3 linked regions of the Macaca mulatta genome follow. The protein of the gene in region 1 purifies or fractionates together with the protein of each later gene. This does not show direct contact. Links are inferred from orthologs where the notes say so. Each region holds a gene or a part of one and is shown on either strand. Other genes may lie near its edges. The genes, in order: ITGA4, ITGB1 and LGALS1.

The links.
Region 2: the proteins of ITGA4 (region 1) and ITGB1 purify together in Homo sapiens (co-immunoprecipitation; 4 studies listed by BioGRID and IntAct, with this or other methods). This does not show direct contact. The link is inferred for Macaca mulatta from reciprocal best matches to the Homo sapiens genes ITGA4 and ITGB1.
Region 3: the proteins of ITGA4 (region 1) and LGALS1 purify together in Homo sapiens (affinity purification with mass spectrometry; 3 studies listed by BioGRID and IntAct, with this or other methods). This does not show direct contact. The link is inferred for Macaca mulatta from reciprocal best matches to the Homo sapiens genes ITGA4 and LGALS1.

Annotation. Positions count from the first base shown.
Region 1 is NC_133417.1:86,371,496-86,375,771, forward strand, and holds the start of ITGA4 (integrin alpha-4), read left to right. Parts: upstream 1-1,370; 5' UTR 1,371-3,642; coding exon 3,643-3,839; intron 3,840-4,182; coding exon 4,183-4,276. UniProt on the Homo sapiens protein: Integrins alpha-4/beta-1 (VLA-4) and alpha-4/beta-7 are receptors for fibronectin. They recognize one or more domains within the alternatively spliced CS-1 and CS-5 regions of fibronectin. They are also receptors for VCAM1.
Region 2 is NC_133414.1:34,341,970-34,346,218, reverse strand, and holds the start of ITGB1 (integrin beta-1), read left to right. Parts: upstream 1-1,259; 5' UTR 1,260-1,381; intron 1,382-4,249.
Region 3 is NC_133415.1:13,851,466-13,855,725, forward strand, and holds the start of LGALS1 (galectin-1), read right to left. Parts: upstream 3,037-4,260; 5' UTR 2,977-3,036; coding exon 2,968-2,976; intron 1,696-2,967; coding exon 1,616-1,695; intron 208-1,615; coding exon 36-207; exon of another isoform or gene 1-35. UniProt on the Homo sapiens protein: Lectin that binds beta-galactoside and a wide array of complex carbohydrates. Plays a role in regulating apoptosis, cell proliferation and cell differentiation. Inhibits CD45 protein phosphatase activity and therefore the dephosphorylation of Lyn kinase.

The sequences.
Region 1 (4,276 bases):
ACTATGTAGAATAACAGTGGTGAGAGGGGTTATCCTTGTCTGTTTCAGTCCTTGGAGGAAAGGCCTTCATTTTTTCTGTGTTCAGTATGATGTTGACTGTAGGTTTGTTATATATGGCCTTTATTATTTTGAAATATGTTCCTTCTATATCCATTTTGGTGAGAATTTTTATCATAAAGGAATGTTGAATTTTATCAAATGCTGTTTCAGCATCTATTGAAATAAGTATACCATTTCTGTTAATGACTTATAATATTTAGATTGTTTTTAAAGACATAGGAAATGGGTTAGATCTCCTAAAGAGGGAAGATGGAAAGAGAATGAAAGAGGGTCCAGAATATAGCCCTGGGGATTTCCAGCACTTATGGTGGAGGGAAAGGAGACATCAGAGGAAACTCAGAGTGGCCAGATAGAAAGGGAGGAAAAAGCTTAATAAGGTGGTATCATGAGAAGAGAGTCTTTCTGGAAGGAGAAATGCTTACTCTTGATAACAACTGAAAAATAGGGTGAGTCCACATTAGAATCCTCGCTACTGGGGAGGACTTTCTACACAAGGTTAGAGATCACTTGTATTTTATCTACTATAATTTTAGTCCATAATGCATTTTCTGGCACATAGTGGGCACTTGATAAGTATTCATTCAATGACATTTAGTAATTGAGTGCCCAAATATTTATGTCGGGTTGAGAGCTAGGGATAGGCATGAGTCTTTCTTCAACATCCTTCTGATTAGAGAGATAGCAGTATCTTCAGTTTATTTTAAAGCATCATGAAACACACTTTATTCCTGCTAACATTAGGAAAAGCGAGCTGTTTTCTAAGCCTTGGAGGAAGGAAATTCAGCTAACATGTGAGATAATGTAGGGTGGCTATTTCTCGAAAGGTAGTGAATCATAGCTATAACCATAACTGTGGAAAAAAGTCCTGCCTTATCAACCACTCCATTGACTGCTAGTCACCAAAACTACGCTATGAAACAAATTGTGTTGAGTGGCTTTCATTGTAAAAGACTTTGGTGAAGGGAGGGAAAGAAGGGGTTCAGATCAGAAGATCTGGCTTTGCCAGTTTCTGGAGGGTGTCAGAATGGCTTCAATATACCTACGTCCTTGGCCTCAACTGGAGGTTTTGTAGCTGCAAACAAGAAGGATTGCGTAGTTCAGAATAACGACAATGTAAGCTAATTGTGGAACTGGGTTAAAATCAGCATGTAGATCTACTAAGAAACACACTCAGCACTACTGCAGAGAGAAACATCAGAACCATTCTCCACAGGCCCTTCATTTCTGGAAGCCATTTCATTTTTACAATAGATTTATCACACACCATATTGACTTTTTACTGTAAAGAGAAAGTTAATATTCCTCATATTTTGTCTGTTGACAGAGTGAAAATAATTGCATTGGGTTTGGCTAGAATATCCTGTCATTCCAAAAATATCTCAAACTCCACATGGCTAAAACTTAACCCATCAATGCCCCCATCTACATGCTTGCATACATGCATATTACTTCATTTCTCAGTGTTTTTTTCTCTGTGAATGGTATCACCACACACCCAGTTCCCAAATCCAAAACTGCCCTGCGGATTTTCAACAATTACGGTGGAAGAAGCCAGCAGAGGAGACTCAGAGTGCCCAGATAGGAAGGGAGGAGAAAAAAGTTCAATAAAGTGGTGCCCTGAGAGGAGAGTCTTTCAAGAAAGAGAAATACTTCTCCTTGGGCTTATCCTCTATTTATTGTTGCAGGGGCTTCCAAAATTAGGTTTTCTGTGTTCAGTCTTGCGTTCACACTTCTGAAACCCAGAGCTGACCCAGACAAATTCCTCAACTTCCTGTCAGCCCCAACATAGATTTAAAATTCCTAACCTGGCTTACGAGGTTCACCATGTATTCCTGCTTCTCTAAGTCAGGCTCATATCACACCAATCTGTGTGTGGGGTGGCTAAATACACTAGCCAGGGAAGCTCTTTCAGTTCTTCTACCTGGCCCCGCTGGAGCCCTCCTTATTGCTCATTCCGTTCTTAGCCTGATTCAAAATTCCTGGTCCTTCACATCTCTCTTTACGTGTCCTCACCTGGAACTTTCTCTAGTTAGTACAAATTTTCTATCTACCATTGGAGCAAACATTTTTTGAAAGTTTGTATCAGTCCTGCCTTACTCTTGGTGGAATCCTGTGGTCCTAGCCAAGTGCCTGCTCCATTAATGTGCTGAATAAATGAATAAGCATTTTAATTATGTATCTGTCGTTAGTGTCAGATGTGTTATTCCAGCAGGGTTTTAGCACACAGACACACTCTTTGATGCAGACTTTTCCTGTGTTTTCTTTTTACATATAGCAACAATAAAAAAAACTAGACCTTCATCTCCTGAAAATATCAGTCTAATAATCACCTATGACTGTCTCTCTGGTTGCTGAAGGGAAAAAACAAAACAAAACGAAACAAAAACAAACAAACAAAAAATCCAGGGCACACCTGGATTGCATTAGAATGAAACTCACTACCCAGTTCAGGTGTGTTGCGTCATGGGTCTCCGGCACATTTCAGAGGCTCATTAGGACCCTGACCCCACACTGGAGTTTACACCCCTAATAGCAGCTGTGTCCCGTGGCAACTGAGTGGGTGCGTGAAAAGGGGATAATCAAGAACCAGCTGGAGCAATCAGAATCGGTTAAAGTGAATCAAGTCACAGTGCTTCCTTAACCCAACCTCTCTGTTGGGGTCGGCCACAGCCTATAACCGCCTGCCATTCAACCTGAGCGGCTGCTGCTCGCCTGCTCAGGCACACAGCCCGGGGTGCAGAGGAAGTGTGGGGAGGAAGGAAGTGGGCATAGAAGGGTGCCCAGTGTGGGTCTTGAAGAGAATAGCCATAACGTCTCTGTCACCAAAATGTTCCCCAGGAGCCTTCGGCGAGTTTTTTGGGGTTTTGTTTTTAATTTGTGGCTCTTGATAATTTATCTAGTGGTTGCCTACATCTGAAAAACAAGACAGTGCTTGACTCTCAACCAAAGAACTGGACGGCTCCCCGCCGCAGTCCCAGTCCCCGAGTTTGTGGCTGGCATTTGGGCCACGCCGGGCTGCCTGCTAGAGGCTGGGCGGTCACAGCGAGGGGCACGCGGTTTGGGGCCACACAGCTCCGCTTCTAGGCCCCAACTACTGTTAAAAGGGGAAGCCCGTGCTCCATCTAGGTCCGCTCTTACTGAGCCCAGAGCCATCCCGCGCTCTGCGGGCTGGGAGGTCCGGCCGAGACGCGCGTCCTGCGCAGCCGAGGCTCCCCAGCGCCCCCTGCAGCCGCGCGTAAGGGGAGACGGGGCCCGGCCCTGCGCCACCGCACCACGCCCGGGACCCCACCCAGCGGCCCGTACCCGGAGAATCAGCGCGAGAACCCGAAGCTCCCGGCGAGCAGCAGAAACCGGGAGTGGGGCCGGGCGAGTGCGCGGCATCCCAGGCCAGCCGAATCGCTCCGCCCGCGGTGGGCCGACTTCCCCTCCTCTTCCCTCCCTCCTTCCTTTCCTGTAGCCCGCCGGCGCCGGACACGCTGCGCCTCATCTCTTGGGGCGTTCTTCCCCGTTGGCCAACCGTCGCATCCCGTGCAACTTTGGGGTAGTGGCCGTTTAGTGTTGAATGTTCCCCACCGACAGCGCATGGCTTGGGAAGCGAGGCGCGAACCTGGTCCCCGAAGGGCCGCCCTCCGGGAGACGGTGATGTTGTTGCTGTGCCTGGGGGTCCCGACCGGCCGCCCCTACAACGTGGACACTGAGAGCGCGCTGCTTTACCAGGGCCCCCCCAACACGCTGTTCGGCTACTCGGTCGTGCTGCACAGCCACGGGGCGAACCGATGGTGAGTAGAGTTGGACCAATGAGCCCTCAGCAGCTCAGAGCGGCGTGAGAACGGCGCCCAAGGGATTCCCTGCCCGGTTCAAACTTTTCTCCCTCCCAAGGAGGCAGGAGGGAAACGCTGCGAGTGCCAGCTCGCTGGAGATCTGCCAGGGAAACTAACTTATCTTGGGGTGGCAGCACCCCGGGGTGCGTTCTGGCGCAAGACCTTGGAGCTTCGAGTCGGGGGTGGTGGGCGGAAGAGGAGGTGGGAAAGCTGCCCTGCTGCCGACTGCACATCTGTTCCGACAGGGAGCTCAGTGGGCAGCACAGCTCACGTCTGAGCGCACGTGCACGTGTCTCTTTAGGCTCGTGGTGGGTGCGCCCACTGCCAACTGGCTCGCCAACGCTTCAGTGATCAATCCCGGGGCGATTTACAGATGCAGGATCGGGAAGAATCCC
Region 2 (4,249 bases), on another chromosome or scaffold:
AAAATAGTGCTTATTTCCTAGAGGTCTGCAGACATTGGCTAACCAATAGTTTTGATTTTGCTGGTAAGTAATGTGCAAATTTTCTTAGATGTGATCGCCTCATTTTCTCTTATATTTTAGATTGGCAGCAGCCAAATGGGCGTTCCAGCCCCTCATCTCCTGCAAGATTCTTCTCAGTTTCATAAATCTGGTAATTTTTGAGCTCTTTTCCCAACAGGGTGCTGCAGCTCACCAAGTGGAACCTACAACATTTTCTGCTACCAGGATAGCAGCTTGCCAGCAGCGTATACTGAAATTACTGGGTTTCAGTATGATGTTGGTTGGTACGAACTTCAATCATCGAATCGACATGCGCCCAGCCATTCTCATAATGAATGTTTCCTTCTCTTTCAAACGTTCTGTTTCCAGCCCCCATCTCCTTTTTTTTTTCTTCTTTTTTAAAGAGGTTTGAAACAGAAACTTTACTCCGTAGGAAGAAACTTTTCCTTCTCATCCCTGTTCCCCATAAAGGGACCTCCAGATAAATCTATCAAAAGCAGGACCCAACTCACCAGGTTTTCTAAAACGTTCCCCAGTCCCACCACCCTTCGTGGCACCCACGGGTTTCCCAAGTCTTCATCTTTCTCTTAGACACACGCTAGCACATTATCACTCCAGAAAAGCAGTCCTGGCTTAGCCAGTTCCCTTCCAGAATGACCACGTGGTTTTTGGCCCCATGGAGTCCTGCAGGGTATGGGGGGTTCATGGTACCGATTTGCCTCGGGACTGAGGGGGCTTCCGGGAATCAGGACCTCCCGGGCTCTAAACGGGACATCAGTGGACAAACGGGAGGGAGGGTCGGACACGCGGATCCGAGGAAGCGGAACTTAAAGAACACGGGCCCAGCAGGCTACACCAGGAACGCGCGGGGCTTTAGGGCGCAACCGACCCCTCCCGCCCTTCACAGAGGAGGAAACTGAGGCATGGCGACTGTCTCAGCGGAGTCCCGGCCCTGCCCTCCACGGCCTCCCTCAGGCGCGCTCCCGAGCGGGCCGGTTCCTTTGTCCCGGTCGCGCTTCCTGCCTCCTCCTGCGCCTCCTCCTCGCCCCGGGGCCGGGCTGACGCGGCGGGAGAGGAATGCGTTTCCGGAGGGAGAGGGCGGTGGCGGCCTCGGGAGCGGGATCAGACGCGCAGAGGAGGCGGGGCCGCGGCTGGTTTCCTGCCGGGGGGCGGCTCTGGGCCGCCGAGTCCCCTCCTCCCGCCCCTGAGGAGGAGGAGCCGCCGCCACCCGCCGCGCCCGAGACTCGGGAGGTCCCGCCAGCCCGCAGGAGAGGCCGAGCGGGAGTCGCGGAACAGCAGGCCGGAGCCCACCGCGCCGGGGCCCGGACGCCGCGCGGAGAAGGTAGGCGCCGGCGGGCCTCGGGTGTGGGGGTGCAGGCCGCGGCCTCGGGTCTGCTGTGCGCGACAGCACTTAACAGCCGCCGGCCCGGGCCGCGCCGGGACCTTTGTGCCAGGCGTGGGGGCGGGGGCGGGGGCGGCCGCGGGCCGGTGGGGGCTGGGGCGGGATTCCAGGCTAGTCCGGGAGGAAGTCCGCACACCGCCACCCCCCTCGGGTCCCAGGCGCTGGCAGCGTCCGGGCGCCGAGTCGGCCCAGCCGCGTTCTGAGCGCTAGGGTCGCGGGCCTGGGCGCTGTCACGTCGGGGCTGCTGGAGCTGCGGAGGACCGGGCCTGAGCGGCTCCTGACACCTGCGGTCTCCCGCCAGGCTGGGCGAGCGCAGGTGGGAGCCAGCGAGGCCACCCGGGGCTCGGCGTTTAGGACTCAGCGCGCCCCTGGACTGGTCCTGCGCCTTTGTCTCTCGCTCCCTCGCTGGCTGCTGTTTTTGGAGCAGCGTCGAGCCGGCCGTCGGCGCCCGCTGTTGGGATTGGTCTTCTCCGACTGGAGCCGGGATAGAAAGTGGCCTCGCGGAGCCGCTGGGGACCGGGGGCGCGGCGGCGGCAGTGCAGTTCACTTCCCGGTGTTTATAAACGCGAATGCCGGGAAGTCAAGAGTCGCCGGCCCCTGCCGGGCACCCCGGGACCAGGACACAGGGCCACGGCCACTTTGCGCTCAGACCCGGTCCGCGAGCCTGAGAGCCCGTCCTGTGTCTAGTATCATTTTTACCGCGTGTCATTTCTTAGGCTTCATAAATTGGATTTATGAGACTCCCACTCTCTAAGTAACTTTCATTTAATCAAATTCGTGCTTTTAAGTCCAAAGCTTTGCACTCATTGGTATGATCATTAGTAAGTTGCATTCTCTAAGCTTCCGTTTCCTCATCTGTGAAATAGGAACAATACTACCTACACTAATAATTCATTTTTATAACAATGACAGCGAGGGCCAGGTTTAGCTCTAGGCATTTCATGTGTATTATTTAATTCTGGAACTGCTCTAATGAGATTGCTACTGTTTCTATTTCCATTTTCCGAGTGAAGAAACGGAGGCACCGGGAGCAAAAAGTAAGTTGCATATGGTCATCGGGAGCTCCTGGAGAAGGCATGGGGTCTAGCTCCAGAGCCTACGTTTAAACCAAAAGTAACCTTCCTAACTATAGTCGTGAAAATCAAATGCAAAATGTAAAACACTTAGCTTGAGAGTAGATGCTCAATGAATATTGACTGCTTTTCAGCCCTTCTTTTATAGTAAAAAGATTTCTCGGAAGGTAATTGGTAACATCATTAGTAAGGTTTCTTTGGGCCAACATGCCACATGGATAACAGGTGGATAGAATTGCTAGGTTATTTTGTTTTGTTTTGAGACAGGGTCTCTGTCGCCCAGGCTGGAGTGCAGAGGAGCTATCACAGCTCACTGCAGCCTCAGCCTCTCGTGCTTAAGTTATTTTTCCACCTCAGCCACCTGAGTAGCTGGAACGACAGGCGCCTGCCACCATGCCCGGCTAATTTTTTAATTTTTTGTAGAGACAGGATTTCACTATGCTGCCCAGGCTGGCCTCAAACTCCTAGGCTCAAGCAGTCCTCTCTCCTAGAGCTCCCAAAGTGTTGGGATTACAGACTTGAGCCCCCTGAGCCTGGCCCTTAGGTTATTATTATTTTTCTTATTGTACTTCTGATGCTACAAAAATAACGTTCTAGAGGAATTTAGACATCTTTCTTAAACCACATATGCCCTTTACGATAGGGTATACAATAGGCCACTTTTAGAAATGATTAAGGAACTTTAGTTGGCAGTTACCTGTTCATTTGTGGACATCAAGGCCCAGAGGGGTCAGGACTTAGAGTCTCACTGTAATTCTCATATTTTTAAATAATGTTGGCTCATTGATCAATATTATATAAGTGACTGAAGATGGTGAAGTGTTAAATAAAAAACATTGGTATTTTGATTACAGGCATTTGGGGGGAAAGCCATTTTATTTATCCCAAAATTGAGTATGAAGGTGGAAGATGTTATTAGAATACTAGCTAAAAGGACAAAGAATGTGGTTAATAGCTTAATTCTGTAAAAAGGAAGCAAATAGACTGTTTAACTCATCTATGTTGACTTCAGACCTAGACCTACAATTTTATGTGATTTTCCTAACAATGTAAAGTTCTGTATTAAAGTTATTTTTGAATACCTTCAACATTCTGTACATGAAATGCATGGAATCAACAATTCTGAAAGTCACTGCATTTAGTAATTTTAACAATTAGGCAGCTTTCTTCTTAGCTTTCTGGTCAGTATAATTTAATTTAAATCAGCCCCAAATTACCATCACGAATGAAAATGTAGTTCTACATTGGTGTTCTTCCTAACTCTGGGAGTGACACTGGGGACAAATGGTCATACTATAATAATGAAAAGTGGTCAAACAACATGGTGCCAGTTTTTCTAAGAGTGCTTGCCACTGATTTTAATGTCTTTATTGTTTGACTTCTTGATAAGTAAGTTGTGGCTTACAGCAGGGAGTAGTACAGTGTTCTGTCCGAAAAAAATATTCATTAATATTCTGTAGCTGCTCTGGTTTGCCCTTAACCATGCTGCTAGTGTGATAAGCTGAAACATCTTGTAAAAGTTTCAGAGAGCTTTCAAGTTCCGAGAACTTAACTTTTCTGAGTATGTAACAAGCTACATATATCTGAAAGGATTCATTTGGACTTTTGTCAGATTTTAGCAGATTTTCTCACTCTACGAGAGAGTTAGGATCTGTTAGGTTGTGGGTGGAATCCTAGAGATTATGCCAGGTAAATATGTAAGTGTCTGTATTGTATTAGCAGTGTTTACTCTGAC
Region 3 (4,260 bases), on another chromosome or scaffold:
CCTGTCCCTAGTCCCGGTTCCGGTCCGCAGCCCACCTCTGCGACACTTCCAGGCTGGAAAGGAAAGGCAGCCTCCCGCTGCTCGGTCCCCCAGGCCCCACCGTCCTTGCTGTTGCACACGATGGTGTTGGCGTCGCCGTGGGCGTTGAAGCGAGGGTTGAAGTGCAGGCACAGGTTGTTGCTATCTTTGCCCAGGTTCAGCACGAAGCTGGGGGGTAATGGGTGGGTGTGAGGCCACCTCGGCCAGCTCCAGCCCCACCGACTGACTAATCTGTCACTCAGTACTCCACGAACACACTTTGCTTGAAGAACTCACTAACAGAGACAAGAAACCTGGATTCTAGCTCTGGCCCTGACAGCTGCTTACGGTGTGAACGTGAGCTAGTCCCTGCCCCTCCTTGCCTGTTTGCTCATCTGTACAATGGGGGCTGCACAGGAGGACTTGCTAGATTCTTGAAGTCACTAGCGTCCTAGCCCTTTTGGTCAAGGTCAGAGACTTCCTCCAGATGGCAACTTCACGTCCTGTCTTGTACATCTGTGTTCCTGGTGCCCAGCACAAGTGGGGCACACCAGAAGGAGATGCTTAGTAATTATGGGGTGAATTAACAAATAATAATACTCCTGGGCACGGTGGCTCACTCCTGTAACCCCAGCACTTTGGGAGGCCGAGGTGGGCAGATCATGAGGTCAGGGGTTCGAGACCAGCCTGGCCAACATGGTGAACCCCCATCTCTACTAAAAGTACAAAAAGTAGCTGGGCGTGGTGGTAGGCACCTGTAGTCCCAGCTACTCGGGAGGCTGAGGCAGGAGAATCGTTTGAACCCAGGAGATGGAGGTTGTGGTGAGCCGAGATCAAGCCATTGCACTCCAGCCTGGAGGACAGGGTGAGACTCCGTCTCAAAAAATAAAATAATAAATGCATTTGTTTAGTGGTGATAATAGCTATACCTGCCTCTGAGGGTTTGGTTGCAATGAAATTAGTGCATGAGAAGTGTACGGCTCTTAACAATATCAGCTCTTAACAATATCAGCCGATCCTCACCCTCCTCATCATCACTACACCATCGGCATCTCACTTCCTCCACACAACCACCTCCCCCCCCTTGTTTTTCTAACAAAATGAGGCTAGGTGAGGTTGGTTGACTGGTCCAAGGTCACATAGCTGCTGAGAAAATAAGGCAGCCGGCTGAGTGAACGAGGAGTGAAGGAAGAAGGACAGGACTGAGCCAGTGAATGAATGACCTGACGCAGGAGGGAGGGACTCAGAGGGAAGGCGGCGGTGACTCCCGCCTCACTCTTCTCCCCGCCCTCCCCAGATGCAGGCCCCGCCCAGACCGGAAAGGGGTGGGGGCGGGGGAACCAAGGTATTATAGATGACGAGGCTGCAGCTGTTGTAGTTTAAGAGGCTACAGCAGGGAGGGAGCGGGGGAGGGGGCGGCAATGGTGGGGGCGCCCAGACCCCGCGGGGGAAGTGAGTCACCCAGAAAGCGCAGCAACGTCGGCCGGCCGTTAACCCACTCTCGGCCAGGGAGGAGACGTGGACTTGGCCGGCCACGCCCTCTCGGCTGGACCAAGCCCCCATCCCTGCCGCCCACCACCCTGACTTCACCTCTCACCTCTTGGCGTCGGGGGCCACCTCGCCCCGCACTCGGAGGCACTCTCCAGGTTTGAGATTCAGGTTGCTGGCGACCAGACCCTGCACAGACAAGCCCCGGCCCAGCAGGTTAGAGGACAAGGCCTCCACTACCCGAAGTGTCCGGGGGTGGCTGGGGGTGGGAGTGGGGTTGTTCCCGCCCGGCATCCTCTGACCAAGCCAAGGGGAAGCCTGGGGACAGGATGGGGCTGTGATTTCTAGCCTCTGATTCTCTGTGTGGTCCTGGAAAAGTCCCTATTCCCAACAGGGTTGGCTTCAATCTGTAATGTGAATCAGGTTCTAGAAGACAGGCTCTAGAAGATTTTGCAGATTGGCCTGGGGATTTTGAACTCAAGAGTGGCTTGGGAGGTGGGGTGCTCTGTCCCATCGCAGATAGAGAGGATCAGGCTGGGGAGGGGCAGGCAGTTGGCCCACAGTCACACTGAATGCAGGGGTCGACCCCTCTGCTGGAGAGGAAGTGGCTAGGGGGACACTACTATTCTCCTTCAAGCTCCTCTCTGCGAAGAGGCCCAGGGGCTAGAGAGGAGACCCTGAAGAACACGGCCCCTCTGCATTAGGGAGTGGCCTGCAGTCGGGCTGTGGCCAGGCTGGTTCAGGGTTAACAAGATTGAGAAAACTGCTGCGCACTGCTGCTCCCTGGCACCCCGAGTGGGTGGGCAAGAGTTAACTGATTTGAGTGGTTTCTTCTGTCAGAAACTTGAACCCTTTCCCTGGGGCCCGAGGAAGATTCTCACCTCCCTGCCACCCCAACCTCCCAGCTTGGGGGTGGTGGAAGGGAATTTCCCCGGCTCCCCTCCCTCCCACCAGCCTGGACACAACCACCCTCCACCCCCGACCTAGAAAGGCCCATCCTGGGCAGCCTGTCTCGGGTCCTGGCGACTTTTCAGCGTATTCTGGAGCAGAGGGTGACTCTGCCCGGGCCTGGTGACTGGGACAGCTGCAGGGGGGAGGGGACGGGAGGCTTTTTGGGGTGGAGGAGGGGGAAAGATATAGTGGCCTGGGTGTCCCCCAGTTGGCCACACCCTTCCCACGCTCACTACTCAGAGAGCTGCAGAATGTCAACCCTGGGCAGAAATAACTGTGCTTTCAGACCCTGGAGGAATCCAAACAATTATCAATGCAGAGAAGGCCTTGAGGGACCATGGCGCCCACCCCAATTTTACAGATGTGGCTACTGAGGTCTAGAAAAGAGAAGGCAGTGGTTCCAGGCCACACAGCTGGGGCTAGAACCCTGCTCCCGATCTGCCCAGCTCTCCTCCGGCCATCAGCTCCTGCCCTATCCCCTGGACCTTGGGGTGGGGTCCCCACACTCACACAAGCCATGATTGAGGCCAGGAGGATGTTGCCAGGAGAGGCGCACCAGCTGTTAGAAGACTCCACCCGAGAGAGATGGGCCCCCGGACGCTCCCACCCTTTTAACGGGACCGGACCGGGTGAGCCCCGCCCCCTGGAAGTTCAGCCAATTGCAAGTCAGGACAGGGCTGGGGGCCACCGAGGGCGGAGTCCGTGGAATTTTGAAGCCAGTTCTGGAGCAGAGGTGACCAATCAGAGTGGCCATCTGCCGCCCCCCCACGAGGGTCCAAGCTCCACCTCCTATTCTTCATCCCTCTCCACCTCCCCCTGCCCCGCCACCACCGAAATTGTGCTGTGGCAGAGATTGGGGGAAGCCAATGGAAAATAGTTTGATGATGAGCTAGGCCCACGAGTTGGCGGGAAGGGGCCTGTGGCCAGCAGGCTGAGCTCAGGGGGTGCCCAGAGAAGATGGCTGAGGAGGTGCAGGGTCCTTCAAGGAATCAGAGCTGGGAGAGACCAGGCCACTCCAGGGCAGGGACCAGGGCGTGGCTCCTGCGTGCGCGTCTGCAGAGGGCCACCGACTTAAACCACAGGCCCTGGCGCCACCCGGGCCTTCCCCGGAAGCAAGGACTGCGGCTGCTGCAGCGCTTGCTCGCTCCTAGCTAAGGCTAAGGAAAGGCTGGGCTGCACGCCAAGCCTTAGGTTGCAGGGCTTGGCTAAGTCCTCGGGCTTGGCCCCCTTCAGGGGCATGCAGGGGATAGTCAAAGCGCCCTGGCCTGACAGCCTCTGGCCTGAGTGTCAAGCTGGGGAGATGGCCCAGGGTGGTCCAGGCCAGGAGGGGGTGGGGTCCTAGCTCTGTGCACCTGTCAGGCCTCTGAGCCCAAGCCAAACCATCGCATCCCCTGTGACTTGCACGTATGCCCAGATGGCCTGAAGTAACTGAAGAATCACAAAAGAAGTGCAAATGCCCTGCCTTGCAGTAACTGATGACATTCTACCACAAAAGAAGTGAAAATGGCCAGCCCTTGCCTTAAGCAATTATATTATCTTGTGAAGTTCCTTTTCCTGGCTCATCCTGGCTCAAAAAGCTCCCCCACTGAGCACCTTGTGACCCCCACTCCTGCCTGCCAGAGAACAACACCCCTTTTACTGTAATTTTCCTTTACCTACCCAAATCCTATAAAACGGTCCCGCCCTTATCTCCCTTCGCTGACTCTTTTCGGACTCAGCCCGCCTGCACCCAGGTGAAATAAACAGCCATGTTGCTCACACAAAGCCTGTTTGGTGGTCTCTTTACATGGATGTGCATGACAG